2 linked regions of the Caenorhabditis elegans genome follow. The protein of the gene in region 1 purifies or fractionates together with the protein of each later gene. This does not show direct contact. Each region holds a gene or a part of one and is shown on either strand. Other genes may lie near its edges.

The links.
Region 2: the proteins of ZK402.1 (region 1) and Y48G1A.2 fractionate together in Caenorhabditis elegans (co-fractionation; one large-scale study listed by BioGRID). This does not show direct contact.

What each region holds. Positions count from the first base shown.
Region 1 is NC_003284.9:1,402,652-1,405,772, reverse strand, and holds ZK402.1 (Protein FAR1-RELATED SEQUENCE), read right to left. Parts: upstream 1,503-3,121; coding exon 1,348-1,502; intron 1,297-1,347; coding exon 1,101-1,296; intron 1,049-1,100; coding exon 776-1,048; downstream 1-775. Other genes in the region: ZK402.2 (SPK domain-containing protein), read right to left, coding at 1,656-1,773, 1,818-2,029.
Region 2 is NC_003279.8:345,502-349,039, reverse strand, and holds Y48G1A.2 (Transposase), read right to left. Parts: upstream 1,572-3,538; 5' UTR 1,466-1,571; coding exon 1,459-1,465; intron 1,411-1,458; coding exon 1,334-1,410; intron 1,279-1,333; coding exon 1,057-1,278; intron 999-1,056; coding exon 891-998; 3' UTR 736-890; downstream 1-735. Other genes in the region: Y48G1A.1 (BTB domain-containing protein), read right to left, coding at 136-363, 421-505; mbtr-1 (Malignant brain tumor repeat protein 1), read left to right, coding at 676-735, 1,996-2,247, 2,298-2,479, 2,524-2,665, 3,210-3,538.

The sequences.
Region 1 (3,121 bases):
GTTTGTAAACGAGTGACCTGTCCCTCTCAGGACAAGTTTTTTATGCTGTCTCCTCTCTGAAGAGACACGAGGGAGAAAGAGGAATTTGGGGCGGGGCGGCGGTATGGTATGGGAGAGAAAAGGGGGAAAGGTTGAGGCTCTTAGCCTATATTAAAAAACATTACAATAAAATCAATTATAATCAATTATTGCATTCCTTGGCTTTTGCTTAGAGGTATGAATCATCAAAGAGGTTTCATACACTCCCCGCGCCGCACGATGAGTAGCCTCGGATTTTGTTTTGATCTCCTTGTTGAGCTTGAGTAGACTGCCTGGCTTGAGTAGACAGCTTGGCTTGAGTAGATGATAAGATTTGATGAGTGTGTGATGATGATGATCTTGACAGCTTGCATTACTTTTGATCTTCGCTTCTTTGAATGGGATCCTCGATACAGATGGAACAATGATGATTGATCCTTTTACAGTACGTACATGGCTTTGGAGTACATTGATGTTATCATACCCACAGGGTTCTTATGAGGTCTTTATATATTTTACTAACATGGTGTAGCGGTTATGTTACTTATGAGTTTATTATTGGAAGTTAAAGAATATAAAGAATAATGAGGATTAAGATGTAAAAGATAGAATAAAGATAGAACAGAATGAGAGCTCACACCATCACCACTCAGGAACCATCATCACCACCACACTACCTTGCTCTTCTCTTCTTTCTTCTTCTTGGTGTCATGGGCGTGTCCAGAGGGCGTAACCAGATGACATGTTACTAGGGTTTCTAGGTGCAACAATGTCTTCCTTCTCGTTTTGCCAGGCACAAGTGGCAACGGTTGTCTTTGTCGAGGATTTTCTTTCTTTCGAAAGTTCCTTTCGTGTGCCCGCATCGATTGGAATGATGATGATAATGGCAGTACACACATCGCGGTGTCTTCTCCTCCTCATCCGTCGTGAAGTCCCTCATGGGAACTTTCTTATCGTTTTTGAACACTGAGTTCTTCGGTTTCCTTCGAGGAATACTCGGTCCTTTGTCGACCTTTCGTGGGATGTTCCCCTGAAATTCTTTGGGATCGCTTTTCAAGGGGAGCTTGCAAACTCTTGCATACAGATTTCACATAAATAGTTGGCTGATTGTTCTCTTCCATCATCACTTCTTTATATTCTTGCGAATGATCGATGAGCAAATTATAGGTTGAATCTCTATTGAGGAGTTCTTCAAAATCGAAATCAACTGGCTCAGGCTTCGGATATCCGTCCACAGTTTCAATAATCTCCAGATCATCGTCGTCGTCACTCGAGCTCCTGAAAATAATCAAATAAAATACTGCGTAATATGAAATTGACAGGATATACATTTCAGTTCTCGCTCTTTTCGGAGATCTAGGAAGAGAAGTCGCCGAATCTACGCCATCTTCGTCGCTCTCGGCTTGGTTCGTCGTCTGACTTGCATTCATGACCATGTGCACGTGTCGACCAGCCTTTCGGTGATATGCAGATGTTCTTTTCATTCTTGCCGAATGACTGTGGTCCGCCTCCAACTTCAGCTTTCCATCACGTTATGCATACTCGCAAATTCGTTTGCCATCATTGAGCACGACAATTCCATCCGTTTGAACTTTGTAAATCACTATTCGTTAACTCAAAAACCTTTTTAAAATTTTTTACTGTGTCAGAAAGTCGTCCGAAACTTTTCCAGCAAGCCCAAGCATCACTCGGAGACGGCTTTCAATACTGTAATTGTCCAGTTGATCCATGTTTGGCGCAAGCTTTTTATGGAATCTAAATCTAAATTTATTAAAGAGAACCAGGTATAATATTCTCACTTTCGATAATAGGCTCCATCCGAACATCTGGCATTTTCTTTTTTACCGAACTCCATGAAAACTTTTGTTGCCACCAGTGGCTCATTGGCTTCTTTCGTCTTTTCAACAAGAAAAGTCATCAATCTTACGTCATCGGCGGTAGTATGTGGAGCTAAATTTCCCACCCCCAGCCAGGGAGCTAAATTTCGCACCTGCCACCAAACCGCGTTCATGCACCGATTTTTTTCAAATCTATATCGTTTTCTTTGTTTTTGCCGATAAGTTTGATCAGGTTTCCCACAAAAACCTCCTCACTCTTACTATTCAATCTCTGTAGATAGTTTTCTGCTTCCGTGGAATTTTTTTACTTAAAGTCAGTAATCATATTGCAGTGTTTCTGTTCTGTGCACCAAAGATTTCAATTCCACTTGACGGAGTTCTTCGTCATTTCAATGATGTGGATGAACTGGTGGCGAGATTGAGGAGATGGCGCGACGGAATTCGTCGCTACATAGTAGTATGTGGAGCTAAATTTCCCACCCCCAGCCAGGGTGCTAAATTTCGCACCTGCCACCCACACTGCAGGGAAAGAAGGGGGAGAGGTGAGTTCAGTTACGGTGATGGCCGAAGGCCAGGGAGCTAAATTTCGCACCTACCCCACCCATGAGAGAAAAGGGGGAAGGCTGGAGTGATGCCGGGGAGCTAAATTTCAAGCCTAGTCAGGGAGCTAAATTTCCCGCCTGCCACCCATGAGAGAGATGGTGGAAGGGTGAGATGTCGGTGGTTTTCAATTTTATATGTATTCTCAAAAGTTATCAGTGCATTCGGCGCGGAATTTTCAGCTTCAAGATTGAAGAATAAAGTTAAGGAGATGTATCAAATTTAAATGTTTGAAGAATTATTCAGTTTTTTGTCGAAACTTTTTTTATTTTCAAAGATTTTCACAAATGATAAAAGATTCCATTTTCCATCCAAATTGTTTATTAAACAAATAAAACGAAAACAAAGCTTTTATTCAGAAAAAAATGGAAATTGTAATTTATAACTTGAATGGCGAGGAGACCAGACACGGTGGCACTTGAATGGTGACTTGAATGGCAAGGAGACCAGAAGCATTTATTCTGTCCTGTAAACGGTAGGGTAAGGTAAAAAAAGACTAAGAAAAAAAACTCACCATACTCTAATGAGTCCTTCAATCTCATCCAGGGCCTCGAGATTGAGAATTATTTTGCGTAATTCTCTGTTCTCCTGACGAAGAAAACGATATAGATTTGAAAAAAATCGGTGCATGAACGCGGTTTGAGTGGCAGGTGCGAAATTTAGCT
Region 2 (3,538 bases), on another chromosome or scaffold:
GAAAAACTTGGAAAACCGATTTTTTCACGGAAAAAACAAAAAGGTTCGGTTAAAAATCGAGTTTTGTTCAGTTTTACATTAAATTTTATGATTTTTTGCAAAAATCTTTTCAATTTTCAATAAATGAAAACCCACGTGGCTTGTCCTTTTCCAGTTCACCGCAAAACACGCTGAATCGTTCGAAAATCAATTTTCGCGGAAAAACTGTGTCTTCAAAGCTGTGAAATTGAAACGAAATGCACAATTTCGCAAAAAACGAGCATTTTTGGAGCTCCGTGAACAGAAGCCGTCGCTTAAAAACACTGGAATGCCGGATATAGTTGGCGAGGGTTCCACAGGCTTCTTGGGTGATTGTGTCGGCATCTGGAAGGGATTTTTAAAAGAAATCTCAGCTTAAAAGTTTAGATTTTCGGCTCAAACCTTGTCCAACGAGCCTATCGAAGAGCTCGATGGCTTTAATTGGCTCCGAAGTCAAAAGTGACTTTAGCTCGACGATTTGCCGCATTTTCAGCGATTTTCTGCTGAAAATTGCATTTATTTCAGTTTTTATAAACTTTTTACAGCTGGAAAATGGACGAGTAATTGGAAGGCCGCGGTGAGATAGTGTGCAAGTGGAGGAGACCGCTGAGCGACACAAGCGCCACTTTTGAATCTATTTATATATTTCTTGTTTTAATGGAAAAATCGTCGTCGAATTTTATTCAAAATGGAAAAAGGGATCATGGCGGAAAATTGGTAAGATTTAATTGGTAAGGGCAGATTAAAACTATGAGAAATGTGCATTATATTGATATTTAGAGTGAGGGTATATGGGTTTCGAGAGTGAAAAATGGACACATGAATGATTATTTGTGTGAAAAATGAGTTTAAAAATATTAATTTGAATTAATTCATGCAGTTCGGAGCTGGGCGCCGGCTCCAGCGGCGGCCGCTTTGATTTCAGCGAGTATTTTTGCGTGATGAGTCTCCAAGAAGTGCACAACGTTTATGGCGATTGTCTGCAAGAAAATGGGGAATAATTAGATATTAAATTTGTCTGATTTTCTTTTAAAATACCTCCGCCGCCACTGCTATTTCATGGATTGCCGGGCTTCTTGGGTCGATGATTTCGCGCTTGACCAGCGCACTTTTTATCTTTTCATTGACGAAGCGACGACGATTGTATATCGCTTTACGGACAATGTCCGGCTTCTTTTCAAGACTGATCGCCAGTTTTTTCGCCTCGTCCCACGTGGATTCCTTTGTCATGTGGACGTACGGCTCCGAAGCTACTTGAAGCTAAAAAATAAAATTTTTAAATGAGTGAAATTTGAAATTAAGAACTTAAACCCACTCGTATAGAGTCCCGGAGAAGCTGCTCGCGAGCCCCGAGCTTCGATTCGGAGTTTGTTCGTGGACGGTGTGGGGTGGCTAAAATATTAGAAGATTAATGCAAATTATGCTTTAAAAAAAACCCACACTTCATAGTGCTTCTGGCGACCAGCCTCAGGCTCTCCGTCGTCTGGTCGAGCTACGGCTCTTGGAAAATCACACTGAAAGCTGAAAAATCGAGAAATATTGAGGAAAAAATCAAAAAATCGGATGATATAAATTCAAATTTGAATCACTCGGCGGCAAAATAAAAAAAAACAAAACAAACTACCGTACTTCGCGCCTACCGTATCATCAGTGGGAAAGTCTTGAAATTTAACCCATTGACTGTGAAATTTTAATATTCAAGTTTCAAACAAGTTTACTGTGAGTTTAAATCATTTTTTCGAAAAATTTAACGACAAAAAAACTGTAAAAATCTTTTAAAATGTTGATTTTCTTAAAATTTATATAAAGGCGCATGTGGTAATTAGTGTGTTGGGTCTCGACGCGATAACTACAGAAGCTTGGAACTTTTTAATTTAAACAATTTAAATAGATTTTTAATTAAAATCAATGAATTTTTCGAATAAAAAGGTAATTTTAAAAGCATTTTTATCGAAAAACATAATTTATTACTTTCAGCGTCAATATAATTACAAACTTGAAGAAGCAGAATACCGATATTTCACCGAAGAACGGCTATTCTATCGTCGAAGAAATCCAGTTGAGAAAATCGCCCAGCGGATTCCAAAGCCACAAATTGAAGGAACATTCACATGGTCAGATGAACTCCGATGTAATTATGATGGAAATACTCAATTTTTACCTGTCGAGGCGCTGGAGGGTTGTTTGCCGCTGGAAAAGCTAAATCAGCACCTAAAACCTGGATTTCGAGTTGGTTTTTCTTTTAAAAAACTTTAAAGCCATAATCTTAATGTTTTCAGCTAGAAGTAGTCGTCCGACCGTCTCTGGATCCTTCTATAACCACTAAATCTCCAGAAATCCGCTGGTTCGGCGAGGTGACTGCTGTCTGCGGCTTCTACGTGGCAATTAAATTTGTGGGGGAACTTAATAGAAGACCCTGCTGGTTTCATATGCTTTCAGAGGATATTTTCGATATTGGAAGGTTATTTTTCAACAAAATTTCCAAAAAAAAACGCGAAATTTCAGCGGTCTCAAGCAGGATCCAGCGATGAAATGGCTTCAATACAGGCCACTGAGCTTGCTGAAACCGATGCAATGCCCGAAATTTTGGCGACGTGGATCTACGCCTGCACCGCCCGTACCACGGCCAACAGAGGAGATTCTGGATGTGAGAAACCATGAAAATCCGGCCAAAATTATTTTCTGAGCGGAAAAACTGCCTGAAAATTGCTCAAAACTACTCATTTCTGGTTTTTTTCATGTTTTTTCTGGTGGAGAATGTGAAAAAAGGCGAAAAATCAACCATAAAAGAAACTTTAATTTTATCCAACAAAAAAAATTGAAATTTTTTTTTTTAAGAAACCCCATATTTTTTGCAAAAAAGTCCGTTTTTTTTAAAATAAATTTTTCGTCAAAAACCAAAAAAAAAACCCGAAAACCTAAGAAATACACCAAAAAAAAAATCAATTTTTGTCAAAAAACCTGAAAATCCGAAAAAAAAACTTTTAACTAAACCAGCAAAAAACCGAAAATATAAAAACGAATTTTTTTCAAAAAATGATTTATTCTTAAACAAACCAAAAATATCAACAAAAAAAATTCACCTAAAAACTTTAACAAAGCCTCAAAAAAACAACAAAAAAAATAATACTGAAAAAAAACTCCAAAAAACCCTTCTGATTTTCCCATTTCCTAAAAAAATTTTCCTGCAGGAATTTCAAGCCGAGCTGCACGAAAATCGAATCTCTGAGCCAAAAATCTTCGACCAACTCCGCCACCTTGCCCACCGCCCATCTCGTTTCCGGCTGAATCAACGCGTCGAGCTACTCAACTACTTGGAGCCAACAGAAATCCGTGTCGCACGGATCCTCAGGATCCTTGGCCGCCGTCTGATGGTCATGGTCACCGCTCAGGATTATCCCGAAGATCTTCCTTCCGTAGAGGCCAAAGATCGGCAGGTTCAGCATGAAAACGTCGAGTTTTGGGTGGATGAGTCGAGCTTCTTCCTGTTTCCAGTCGGATTTGCAATGATTAATGGATT